Linked DNA regions of Saccharomyces cerevisiae S288C. Changing the gene in region 2 together with the main gene of any one other region gives a genetic interaction. Each region holds a gene or a part of one and is shown on either strand. Other genes may lie near its edges.

Region 1 (4,350 bases), on a different chromosome or scaffold from region 2:
AGGAATTATCATATGGATTACGTGGAAGAACAAAAAACTGGCGAGGACTGGATGAGTGTAATTTTTCTATATAAGTTAAAAAAGGGATTGACTTATAATAGTTATGGGATGAATGTGGCGAAATTGGCACGCCTGGACAAAGATATTATAAATCGGGCATTCAGTATTTCAGAAGAATTGCGGAAGGAATCCATTAACGAAGACGCGTTGAAATTATTCAGCTCTTTGAAAAGAATATTAAAAAGTGATAATATAACAGCAACGGATAAACTCGCGAAATTACTATCATTGGATATCCACTGATGCGGATGGTACGTATGTTCTAAATGCAGCATTATCAGACAATAAATGATATTATATTTTTCATTCACTTTCTCGTTTTTGAATTGTTCCTTTGTTTATTTGTTTACTTTTAAATAATTTTTTACATTTTTATCATAAGATAAATTGAGAGAAACAATACAGAAATTTGGCCATGGGTTTATCTTTCTGTAAACATGTTATAGTTCAGGTATGATGTCTTTAAAGAAACTTCTATGTGAGCTGTTATGCCTTGGCCTTGTACAAGTTGCTTTGTATAGAATTTTTCCGTAGGTATAATTTTCAGAGTAGGTTAAGATATTGTGATCTTTCTTCGTTAAACTCATAGAATTAAAATCATGGAATGGATCAGCCTCATCAATTTCATCATCGTTTGCAACTTTCTCACAGAACATTTTGGTTTCCTGTTCACTCACTGAGTTCCTTTTCGGGTGTTTATTGCAAGACAATATAAAAGGAAGTTCGCAGCCGTTATCATTTAATGCAGGTATTAGAGGGGGGTCTTGGTTTCTTAAGAACGACCACTGAACTTTTTTGAAGAAGGGATGTCTCTTTATGTCTGCAGCTCCTGATTTGGAACCAAGCCTTTTTGCCTCGTTTTTGTTTAGTAGTTTCTTTATCAGGTCTTTACAATTCTTCGAAACTTCCTTATCATGTGGAAATTTGACGTCCTTGGTTAAAATGTTAGAGAATGTTTCATTTGAATTATCTCCTTTAAATGGAGTACAGCCAAATAGCATCTCGTAAATCAATATTCCTAAAGTCCACCAGTCTACTGCTGCAGTGTGGCCATTCCCTCTGATTACTTCTGGAGCTAAATACTCTTCAGTACCAACAAAGGAATTAGTTCTGAATCCATCTGAACAAATTTTTGTATCTAAATACGTAGAGTCTTTCATGGTGGGTTTTTTTGATCCCGTTGCTTGGATGGATAAATCAAAGTCAGAAAGCATGACATGACCAGATTGATGCAGTAATATGTTTTCGGGTTTCAAATCTCTGTATATGAAGCCCAGTAGGTGTAAATATTCCAAAGCTGCTACTACTTCACTGGCGTAAAACTTCGCATCTTCTTCTGCAATGCATTTACTTTTTCTTGTTTGTAAGGCTCTAAAGAATTCCCCTCCCATGCAGTATTCCATACAGAGATACAAATAGTCTTTGGTTTGAAAGGAATGATACAGTGTCACAATAAATGGATGATCACTTGTCGCGAGAATTTCCTGTTCAGTGAGTACTCGTTTAATTTTCTTCCTCTTGATCATCTCATGTTTATTCAAAACTTTCAGGGCGAATATCTGGTTGGTATCGCGTTCCCTCACTAAATACACTTTACCTACGTCACCTTGGCCAAGTAGTCTAATTTTTTCGAAGGATTGAGGTTCGACAGTAATGTCTTGGAACTTGTTACCGAATGACTTGGTTCTTAAACGACGAGATCTCCTCGGTTCTACAATATCTCCCAAGCTTGGAGGTTGTTTCAAGGCAATGTAATCTTCCCGCATTAACCCATCCTTTGCCGTATTGAACGGTTCGGAAGCGGCCCTCCTTAAACGTGGTGTTATGTTCATAGGTATTTGATCCTTTCTGGTTTCGCTATTTTTCCTTGGGGAATCAATTGGTGAATTGGATAATGACAAGTTAGCCAGGGGGGAGGCACTGCCATTTTCGCTGATTTTTCTATGGAAATTTTGGAGCTCTTCATTTTCGTTAATATCATTCAAAGATCCATTACTCAGGTTTCTACTGTCCTTTGCTATATAACTTGGGGAGCTAGGAGTGTGGAAGGATGACGGGTCTGTGGGCATGTCAAAGGTAAATAACTCCGCGTCCGGAGAAGAGCTACCTGAGATCTCATTAGGTGTGGAGCATATCGCCTCATTGGGTATAAGTGTGCTACTTGTAGTACTATGGACATTTGGCTCACCGATAATGGAACTTTGTAACAGCTCTGTATGTATCGTCGACCGGGGTTCACGCTTATGCGTACCTTTTTCTGAAGTTGACGCATCTGTAGTACCACTGCTCTTTGATCTGTTATGATTAAACATTGATTTGAACTTGTTAAGTTTGGAGCTTGACCAGCTATCGTTGCATTCTACATGCAGGGGAAACGGTATGGGAAGATCTTGCTTGTTTCCATTACAAGCCATATTAATTTGTGAGCTTGGGCTTGCGGACAACGAACAAGAATTGACGTTCAAACAATTGACATTGATGTTTTTGCCAGGAGGTGCATTGTTTTGCAGAGATCTCAAATTACGAGCAAATATTTTGGGTAGCGACATGCTCCTCCCCTTGGATAAGCGTTGTGAGGGGGAACGGTATTCTTGCTGAGTCATGTGTACCAACACTGTTGAACCTTGTTTGCAGTAATCCTTAGGGCACTCAATGAATTCTTGTACGTTTCAAACATACTATAATTAAAGAAGAAGAACTTTCTCTAAAAAAACTGGGGTTATTATGTCTTATGTTACTCCTTGAACAATATAGCTGAAAGAGGGAAAAAGGAAAGTATATTTCCGAAAAAGGATGCCGAAGACGGCGCTATCATAATTATGTGTTTGAGAGGCAGTTCACGGTTACATTCTAGTTCTTCTAGCGTCTGTTGTAGTATGAAAAGTACTTTATTGAATGTCCTTGACATGTTTTCCCAGGATCCAACTTAATGCTCCTCGCACTCATGCATGGGTCGGCCACACTGGAGATAATGATATTTATCTTGATATTCTTTGAAGAGTTGAAGAGCCAGCAGGAGTTTTGGAAGGATGTGACATTCTTAGTGGTTTTGATTTTTTTTTTTCAGTTCTGGCTTGTTCTTTTGTTTCATTGATGACGAAGGATTCGTTGAAGTTGAATGCACACAAAAAAAGCTTGATAACTAGTAATATTTTCTTGGCAGTCACATATATGGAAGGTGAATTTAGAGTAGTTTCCTTATAGCCTAGCGGGCTATTACCTTGTAAATACCACACTATCAATCCTTAAATGTATTGCTAATTGGCTATTAACCTAGATGTTTAGCTATTTATTATCTGTTGTTCGCTTAGCTAGGTACTGCTTTTTATGTTGTATTTTATCGAGAAGTTTAGTGTCGCCAGTTATAAAAAAAAAATTTAAACGTAAAGAAAGGTTATCGACAAATTAACGCAATATTACATGCCCTTTTCACCGTATCATGGTATACACTGGTGCATTAGTAGTAGCATACCTTTGAAAATAAAATGAATAACACTGTGAAGACGTAATGGTGTGTTTAGGCTTCACCATGACCAATTGTAGTATAATTTGCAATTTTATCACTAGGATTGTCACTAGCACATTAAATATATATATTTATATTGGTCCTTATTTTTATGAATTTTTTTTAATCTTAGAATTACGGAGCGTTTATGGCTTCATTGACCAAATAAAATGATTGGGCTGAAAGTTTTGAAATATTTCCATGATTCACTGCGGATGCATCCTATTTACAACAGACAGAAGGAACTGACGTGTTTTTCGTGAATGAATTAGATATATATGTGAAATTATGTTTTTTGTTGTTTGAATTTTTGATTTCGAATTGGATTATTATTCTTTGTTTATCTCATCACTAATTACTTACTGCAAATGTACTTTGCCATAAAAAACTAAAAGATTGATCCTTTTATGCTCAAGCTTTGCTACTATAAGATAATTTAGATGATCTTGGCAGTAAATTTTTTTTTTTTTTTTTTTCAAATTTAGTTCTTCGTTGCCTACATTTTCTTAATTTTGTTTCCATTGCTTGTATCAAAAACTTATGAAATTACAAGCGTCAAGAAGCTGTTTATAAGAAGTAATGAAAAATTTTGAATAAAGACAACTTAACCAATAAAGAAAACCAGGTTGTGTACGATAATGCCGTTATTTTTGGTTCTGAAAGCAACATTATCAGAAAACGTGACCAAGGTTTCAATTGAGAATACAAACGAATCAAGGGCAGAATTTGCCTTCGATCTACAATGTACCAGTTGTAGAGAATTACACGATTCTAAAGTCATCATC
Region 2 (3,761 bases):
GGAATATGTCTTCCTGAGTGCCAATTTTGGCAACATCGGCTAACTCTCCGAGGGGAATTGTACCTGCATTAACTAAAGCAGCGGCTAGAACCGAATAAACAACAGACTTAAACATAGGTAATTTGGAATGGCCCTTTCTTTACTGTAGTATTTTTTTTATGATAATCAAGGCATAATTGACTTCCATCCAGCAAATTTAAGCACTTATATATGTTGCATAGGACTACTCAAAGCTGTTTACTATTTCCCAAACTGGTATTATTTAGTAAATTTCTTTTGAATTTTTTTTTTTTCACTCTTCCTTTTTTTCATTTTTGCGATGCCAGTTCTTTGAGTTTCCCTTATACGGCATATGCACTTAAGGTTTGATTTTGCTAATTAAAGGCGTGCCTAAGCGGCGACTAATACTGTAATATAATATGGGTTCCTGACTGACTACAGGGATTGAAACATCCATTTACCTGTTTCGGATATCTCTGCAGATTTTAATCTTTCGGCAAAATTTAGATAAAAAATTTGGGTATTCGTATTTAGTTTCCAATATTATTTAGTTATACAAAACTATTGTCTCAATAGACTGGCGTTGTAATGAGTAGTGTTCCAGTCCCAGTAGAAGGTCAATTCAGTAGAGTTACTGACGCTGCTGACGTTACAGACCTTTAGGAAGTCAGTACCGGCTACTCTCTTTTCAGCATAGTCGTAGAAGTCATTGATTTCACAAGAGAACCCTGGACCAGTGGAACAGGTTTCAATTGGAACAACAGCATCGTTAATGACGTATCTGACGTAGGTGTCGTTAGAACATTGGAATTTTTCGGTGTAGACACGAGCACCTTGAGGAACGTACCAGGATCTGTGGAAAGTGTTGCCCATGAATGGAACGTATTCGGCAGTTAAGTTGTTTTTGTCGTCAATTATACCAGCGGTGGTCAAAAAGTTTAGGATATCGGTATCGTGGGTAAAACTCAACCAAACCTTTTGGTCTTGAATCTCACTTTGCTTTAATAATTTGACTGAGGCATTGAACAAGTTGGAACCGACAGACTTGATAATGTCGTAACCTGGACCCTCATGGTAATAAGTGTGCAAGTCTTGGTAGTAGGAGTAATGGACTAATTCATCCTTGGTGAAAATATCACAGACATCACTGTAACCTTTAGCGTTCACTTCAAATGCACACCACGAGAATAAAGTACTAGCGTCAGTTGAGGTCAAGTTCAAACCCTTGTTTTCCTTGTTCAATCTCTTGGCAATGTCATCCAAGTAGGTTGTGTCGTATTCATTTACAATGTCATCATTGGCATCGTAGTCCCAAGCAGGACATGAGTTACAAGCACTCAAAGTGTTGGCACCAGCGGATTCAGCTTCACTGACAGTCTGCAAGGTGATGTTGAATTGGTCACCTAAACCATCAATGAAATATTGAGCAGTGTCATGACATCTCTTAGAATTAGAGGTAAAAACGGCGAAACTGGTTTGGTTTTCGACCATGTAACCGTATTGAGCCAAGAAGTCACGAGCATGTCTCTTGGCGTTCATTTCACCAGTGTATGGGTTCAAAACATCGTCCGAGTTGGCAAAAGTGGTTTCCATTTCCAAATCATCGTCATCACGGATGAAAAACTCGTAATCATCGTTCAAGAATGACAATGAGCCGTTGAATTGACGAGTGTAATTGCTCAACTTATACCATGTACTCTTGATAGTCTTAGCCAGACTGACAGTAGGGTATCTTTCACCATGTCTACCAACCATTTGCAGTTGCTTCATTTCACAACCTTCAGGCAAATCACGAGAAATACCATAGTCGCCAGGGAAAGAGTAGTATGGTCCGGCACCACCCAAAAATGGGAAGATATCTTTTTGGGTACCAATCTTGTCGACATCGGCTAGTTTGCCTAAGGGAATGGTACCTGCATTGGCCAAAGAAGCGGCTAAAATTGAATAAACAACAGATTTAAACATTGGTAATCTCGAATTTGCTTGCTCTATTTGTTGTTGTTCTTATTCTCATGAGAGATGAAGCCATACTAACCTCGACTTAGCAAAACATCAGCGCTTATATACGTTTCATTTCGACAATTCAAAGATGTTTACCCTTATCCCAAATGGGTATATGCCTTGCCAAGTAAGGTGACCAATTTGATAATTTGGCATGTGCGATCTCTTCGAAAACAGGGACCAGAATCATAAATTTAGTCTGTGCTAGTCCCACGTGTGAGTGCCAAGGTTGTATCGATTCATTTAGAGATTGCCTATTCAATTAACTCTTTTAATCACTTTTACTTTTTTTGGCATTGTGCAGTTGCGTTCTATGCGAAAACGTGCTAATTTAATATATATTTCTTTGTGCAGACAAAGAAAAAGCGCTATGAACCTTTTACCTTCGTTTGAAGTTTATAGACGACGTCCGCTTACATGAGAAAACATTAAAGCAGCGCACATAAGATGACTTCCAAATACGTTGACATATTTGCGCATTCTTGTTGAATACAACTTTCGGATCCTTGTAATGCCGGTCTCCGGCGTCCTGTAAAGAGAGCGTGCGACACGCCGCTATTAGCGTGGGGACTGACATCAGGTCAACATTATTATTGTAGCGAGCTACTTTCGGTCAGTAAATAGAACATATGTAGAGATACAAGCGATTATTAGAAGGAGCGGACCTACAACAAAGTTGGGTCACGTTTCTCGCAATTATTACTTGGATGCCCTCCTAGCTAATGCCAATGTGCAGTAGTAACTTATCAGTCCGATGTGTAAAAAATAGAACTAATTTTTTGCGAAAAGATGGACAAAAACCATCTCTGGTCAATTTTCTCACTAAAGAGGGACGGAGTCTCTTGTTTTCTTCTATTAGTGCACAGGGAATGTTTTGATTTTCCCTTTTTTTTTCTTTCGCTTCTTCAACAGTGGTAAAAATAAAAATTATTGGCGATGGGATAACCAAGGAACATTGTATTTAGCAATTGAAAATTACGGTAAAGGCAGCCGCTCTGACTTGATCTCTGACATTAAAAATTCGGAAACAATAAATATTTCTTTTAAGATGCGGGTTTTAATAACTAACGATGATGGTCCCTTAAGTGATCAGTTTTCACCATACATTAGACCTTTTATTCAGCACATTAAAAGAAATTATCCTGAATGGAAAATCACGGTTTGTGTACCTCATGTCCAGAAATCATGGGTGGGTAAGGCTCATCTTGCTGGTAAAAATTTGACAGCTCAATTCATATATTCTAAAGTTGACGCTGAAGACAATACTTTTTGGGGCCCATTTATCCAGCCACAAATTAGGTCAGAAAACTCTAAATTACCTTATGTTCTCAATGCTGAAATTCCGAAAGATACAATTGAGTGGATATTAATCGATGGAACTCCAGCATCGTGCGCAAACATCGGGCTGCACCTATTGTCTAATGAACCGTTTGATCTAGTACTGTCGGGTCCAAATGTTGGTAGAAATACATCTGCTGCTTATATTACCTCTTCTGGTACCGTAGGAGGCGCAATGGAATCTGTTATTACTGGAAATACAAAGGCCATTGCTATTTCTTGGGCCTATTTTAATGGATTGAAAAACGTCTCCCCACTTTTAATGGAGAAGGCCTCTAAGAGATCTTTAGATGTTATCAAACATCTTGTTAAGAATTGGGACCCAAAAACAGATCTATATAGTATCAATATTCCTTTAGTGGAGAGTTTAAGTGATGATACAAAGGTTTACTATGCACCAATTTGGGAAAATAGATGGATTC
Region 3 (5,821 bases), on a different chromosome or scaffold from region 2:
CAAATTTCTTCAAGGCTTCCGGATCGTTACCTTACTCCCAAGCAATAAACGTGAAATCTGTTTTGTATATATATTTGCAGCTTTTTTTCTTTTGTTCTTTTTCTTTTTTTGGAGATGCGTCTTAAAAAGCGCCACAGTTTCAAGGGTCCGGCGGATAATTTGAGCAATGATAGTATGAAATGCCAGATTACTGTGTATTAAATAATACTTCATGAATTTGCGAATGAACCACTTTTTTGAAAGTTTATGGATATAGATGTGCACATGTCGTTTTTTGAGCTTTGGGTGTTTAGAGCGGAAGAGTTGGTGTTGTGAGTTTCAGTTTTATCAATTATTTATGTTTTTCTCTCAGAAGCCATTTTTTTTTGGTTTTATGGTAAAGGCACCCTTTAAAAATAATACTAAATGTTTCTTTGAAAAATACCATACTTACAACTAATTAATTATTATATGATAGTAAACACATATACTTATTTATAACAAAGGGGTAATCAATCTACTTAGCGAAATGTAACCTTTTTAAAAAACCTTACTATCATGTATATTGAGCAACCAATGAACCTTATTAATGCCGATAATGCAACTAACCATAAAATTACATTAAAATAAATTGAGGCCTTACTGGTCATTAAGGGAATTTCCGCCTTCTTTGCAGTTTCTAAAGTGTCATCAGTTGATATGGATTTCATAGCAATATAATCTGCAATCCCACCGGTTTCTAAGACAACAGCAACGATGATGAAATTTGTGATGACCCAAAAGATAATCACGAGAGATCTAACGTTTGCATAATAGCCAGTCTTTTTTTCATCATAAGATGGCTCAGTAGGCCGAGATTCTGATTTTGGATCGAAGTCATTTAAAACTTTCAAATATTTATCGTAGTTTGCTTGAATCTCTGAACTAGAGACCAGAACTTCCATTTTGAACGTACCATCTTCTGTAGTATTAATCTTACCCAGCGGATTTGCCATTGCACCCTTTGTACCCCATGATAAGTCGTGGACATTACAAAATGCATAGATATTCAAAACATTGATGTAAGAAGGACTCAATAAAATATACTGAATAAAACTTGTCAACATATGCCATGGCTGCAAATAGATAATTGAACTGATTAGGTACAAACAATAAGTGGAGCCCAGAGAGATAACAATATCCCTGAAAGCTTCTGTGGTAATCAAACCCTCAAAGCTGATGGTATCGTTTTTCAATATATTTTGGAAGGATTTGACACTCATGAATATACTGCAGAATATCATGTAAATCATCATCACCGCAAAAATGACGCAAGTTAGAACATAAAATTTCTCAGTACTTTTAGGTTTATTACCCAATGACAGTATGAATGTTGATAAGGTACAAATCCCATAAAGCCACAGGAATATGACGGACAACACATTAAATGCTGAATGGTATGCCAGTGCAATAGAAACAGTGAGAATTCTAAAGACTAGGAAAAATGAACTCAATGAAAACCATGAAATCAATGTATTGAAGAAAAGGTAAAAAAATTCAACCGTCAAAAGGAGTTTTCTACCAATATTATGACCACTGCTCCAGACTCTGTAAAAATGACAAAAGGAATATACACTAGCAAAAAATGAACCATTCAACCAACGCCTCCTCTGAAGAATAAATTCAGGGACCCTCTCCGGTACATCTGTTGAAGCATAAGAACTTCTGCAGTATTTCAAAATCCAATTACAATTTTTTTTTGTGACCACTTCAAAGCATAAAATACGATCTTCAGCAAGATACATATTGGAAGAAAAAAAATGAAAACCTTCATTTTCCATAATTTCACCATAAAAGTACTTCTGTAATGGTTGGCCTCTCACAGCTTCAAACCTATACGCAGAGAATGCCCCCGGTAGAACAGTAATAAATCCAAAGTTAGACTCGGTTGTTTTGTCTAAAATATTGGACATTTTGTATTCGAAATTCTGTGATGCAACTAAAGGATTCAAAAGCTTTACAAATCTCTTACCCAAATCAGTTCTTATTTCACCACATGCGCCACCAACATTTGGATTCCTGAACTCTCTCCATAACTGGTAAATAGAATCTTTACCTGGCATGGTACCAGCATCTAACAATGTAACGATATTGGGACGCAGTAATTCTGCAAAGCCTTCAAATGCCCATCTATGTGAGTTAATTTTTTTCTGATTTTGCTCTTTCAAACAAAACAAAAGTTGTATTGGAACGGTACCTTGATTGCATTCTAATGAAACCTCTGATTCCGAAATATTTGTGATGTTGATCATTGTCGTATGTTCGTAGACATGCATTGCCACTTTTTTTTCATTAATTTCATCCTTAGCAAACCCGTCCTGGTAACAACCTAACGAACTTAGTAATGCTAGCGAGCGTTCATTAATTTTGGATCTACCATCTGAAATGATACAAACGACAATCTTTTTCCATGCATCCGGCCCCCAAGTGCTTGAATTTTTTTTTTTCACCATATATTTGACATTGTCCATAATACCTTTCAAAGTTCTTCCTAACAGGATATGGTCTTCATTATACATTGTGACTACTAGCATCAATTCCGTTTCCCTTGGAGTTAAATACTTCAACTGCCTCACCGTGAAATTCTTCTCTGCAAGTTGATTAGGTTCGCAAGTAACTGCTTGATATCTCATAAACTTAAACTCATTTGGTAAAGTGTTTGCATTTTCTGTTGTAGTAGCGTATTGGTCCAATAGCGTCTTACTGATTGGAGAATCGAAAACAAAATTACCATTCCAAAGTTTGAATTTCCTAATTTCAGTACCGCTTCTCTTTAGTGCTCTATTTGCGGTTAAGTTATCATTGCTTACTATTATGTCGGATTCTTTAGATCCGATAGAAGACACCGAGGATGATGCAGGTACACCATTAGCTTGAAACTGTAATTTATCAATAGTGTTGAGATCATCGTACTCGTCATCCCTTGAAAAATCATCCTTGTCATATTCCCCCAAGTCTCTATGAGAGTAACCGCTTTTCACACTGTCTAATTCTTCTTTTCCATCGTTTACGGGTCTGCTATCATCATGAAGATATTCTCTACGCTCCATAGGAGTCATATGTCTTAAACTGTTTTCATAATCGTAAGGATCAACCATTTCACCGTTTCTACCCAAATATGAATTAATCTGATAGTCATCTCCTCTCTGATCAATATAACCACCCTCCGGATCGTCATAGTAATCTTTTGCCTGTAGGCCATGGTAACCATTGTTGTATCCAAAAGGTTGGTCATGGTATTGAGGAATATTACCGCTATTCATGTTATTGTTGGGTTGCTCCAAAATGGGCCTAGCTTCCTGATCTGCATAACCATCGCTACTAGAAGCAATACTCGGTGACGTCCTAGAGTTCCTGTTATTATAATAGTAGTCGTTTTCGTTAAAGAAGGGCCTTTCGATGGGGGTGGCCATAGTCTGTGAGCCGTTATGTATGAGTTCTGGAGTGGTTTGAATCACATTTATCGAAGGAAGTGGATATGAAGGTACGTTATTGTATTGATGTTCCGACGGTAGCTGTTGACTATTCGTATTAAAAACGTCATTGTATTCTGCAGTTGCTGGTGGGGGACGCTGGCGATGGTGGTTGACAAAACCTCCATATATGTCTCGTTCGTTATCATTGATAGTATTATTATTGCCATCGTCACCGTTATAAAGCATATTTGTTTGCTGAGATTGTTCTGGAAATTGCAAAGATTGGACTGGAGTGAATGAACCCATGCTGGCATTTTGATTGGTATATCTTTGGTTCCTGTTTGTTAATTCTTCATTAGAAGAGTGAAATAGCCCGCTATGTGCATTTTGGAGTTCATAGGAAGGTTCATTCTTCCGGTTTGAGTGATATTCATTTCTCGATCGATTATTTTGATCACTCATTGTATAGTTTTTTTGGTTTGGCTTCCCAGTATTAATTTAGTGACTCTTCGAGGAAGGAAAGAAGAGAGAAGAAGAAGAAGAAATGTATACTGCGTATTTAAACAAGCAGTACTGCAAGGTCCGGTAGGCCTCAAAATGTAAGTGTTCTGATCCTTTGGAGTACCGACGTAAAAAATGAACCCGAGATATATATTAAAATCAATAATTTGTAACAAATATTATACCTAGTTTGGCCAAGAAAATCAAATTTCACACTAATGGCTGTGTCGCGTCATTATCGCGTTACCAAGCCACGCGATTTCTAAAAAAAGACTGCTGGGCCCCGTCTCGGCTTTGTTTCAGAGGTAATGTATGTTTCCTGCATGTATTTACTTGTATCAAATTTCGTTTCACCAAGGGTTCTTGTAGCATATGCGCAACGAATTATCTTCTACTTATGTATATGTACGTAATTTCACTACCGATAGTGGCTATAAAAAGGGTGTTCTGGTGGCATATCGAACGTCATTGCGGTAGGCGAAGCAGAAGTACCGTCATCCTCATTTGACTTCTGTTCCAGCCTCTGTAAGAAAAGTAGTCTTTCCTTGGCTTGATTATGGATATAGTTCCTCTTCAGTTTATCAATAATCGTTTCTTGTAACCCGCACTGTTTTGATGAGATAGCGACAGCATTATTCAGAAAAACGTTAGCGTTTTTCATCAATATGTTTAAAGTATGCGCTCCCCCGGGGGTTTTTTGTGACTTTTCAGTTGATTCTTTTATAGCGTACCTTCTCAGTTCATTATCGGAGGAATTTACTAAGACATCACAAAGTTGAAAAACTACGTGACTCAATTGTTCGTTCAATGTCTGATTTTTCAGAAACAAGATTTGATTTCTATAGTCTGTTAATAAAGTTCTAGCCTCTGTAAGAACTTTGGTCAATAACCCAGAGAGTTTCCAAGATGCATCTGAAGAATAATCGTTTAAACATAGAATGGCAAATTCAACGATATCAACTCTAATCAACGAAAGATCAATCTTACCCTGTACATCTTTTTCATCAAGCAGATCGGTAAAGGAGACGGTTTGCAGAACAAAATCTTGCAATGACTCGAAGGTTCCGGAGCTAATGATGTTCAAACCTTCAATTAAAGTCTTGGCTAAACCGATTTCCTTCAAATCTAATGGAATGGCGGCGGAAATGGAGTCTATAATGTCGCGTAGTTGTAAATAGAATTTATTGGTTGTATCTTCCAAGAAATTAATCTGAATAGGATTCAAGATTTTCGTTTCGACATTTTTTTCAATAGATATTTTCGACTCAATAACCAATTCCATCAAAGCATGGTTGAACTTTAAAGAGTTGGCGAGTACTTCGGTAAGTGAAGACGGAGTCACTTGTTCAGAAACGTCCATAACTTCTGCTGGAGGTTGTACAGGTCCATTGGTTCGGATACCACTTCCGTCCCTGGTAACTTGCATCGCGTCTTCATCCAAAGTATCTCTTTGCAATTCCGTATCTGTGTCATCGGAATCTTGTTCTGCATTTTCACTCCAGTTTTGTAGTTCTTGTAACAGATAATTAACCAGGTGTTGAAAGATTTCAATATACTTGTTTGTCAAAGTTAAAATGTCTGCACCTTCCATTGCAACGGTGGGCGAAACGGTGTCGTCTAGGGACTCTATGAGAGTCAAATAACATGTCAATAGATTGAATTGAAGATCCCAAGTTCTCTGTTCTGGGAAAGTCTCATAAACAATTTCAAACCGTTGGATAATCTGTGGCAGAGATAACACCAAATTGGAAAGATCAGGCATATCATCCATTTTCACGTATTGCAAGATATTAATGTAGCCGTTATTGGCCAGATAATCTGTATAAATTTGCAAAAAAAGCCTTGTTTCATTATAATAGATATTATATTTCCCTTCCTGCGTGGAA

What was found.
Region 1: mutations in PHO5 (region 2) and KIN82 together harm fitness more than expected from each alone (negative genetic interaction), as found in Saccharomyces cerevisiae (3 studies listed by BioGRID).
Region 3: mutations in PHO5 (region 2) and CHS1 are lethal when combined (synthetic lethality), as found in Saccharomyces cerevisiae (2 studies listed by BioGRID, with this or other methods).

The regions. Positions count from the first base shown.
Region 1 is NC_001135.5:272,717-277,066, reverse strand, and holds KIN82 (putative serine/threonine protein kinase KIN82), read right to left. Parts: upstream 2,664-4,350; coding exon 501-2,663; downstream 1-500. Other genes in the region: mismatch repair protein MSH3, read left to right, coding at 1-303; YCR090C (uncharacterized protein), read left to right, coding at 4,204-4,350. UniProt on the Saccharomyces cerevisiae protein: Flippase activator that phosphorylates DFN1 and DFN2 and which is involved in the generation of phospholipid asymmetry in membranes by the inward translocation of phospholipids.
Region 2 is NC_001134.8:428,987-432,747, forward strand, and holds PHO5 (acid phosphatase PHO5), read right to left. Parts: upstream 1,966-3,761; coding exon 562-1,965; downstream 1-561. Other genes in the region: acid phosphatase PHO3, read right to left, coding at 1-115; PBY1 (putative tubulin tyrosine ligase), read left to right, coding at 3,050-3,761. UniProt on the Saccharomyces cerevisiae protein: Partially mediates extracellular nucleotide derived phosphate hydrolysis along with NPP1 and NPP2.
Region 3 is NC_001146.8:274,577-280,397, reverse strand, and holds CHS1 (chitin synthase CHS1), read right to left. Parts: upstream 3,897-5,821; coding exon 501-3,896; downstream 1-500. Other genes in the region: YNL193W (uncharacterized protein), read right to left, coding at 4,354-5,821. UniProt on the Saccharomyces cerevisiae protein: Polymerizes chitin, a structural polymer of the cell wall and septum, by transferring the sugar moiety of UDP-GlcNAc to the non-reducing end of the growing chitin polymer. Required for mitotic division septum formation during adverse conditions.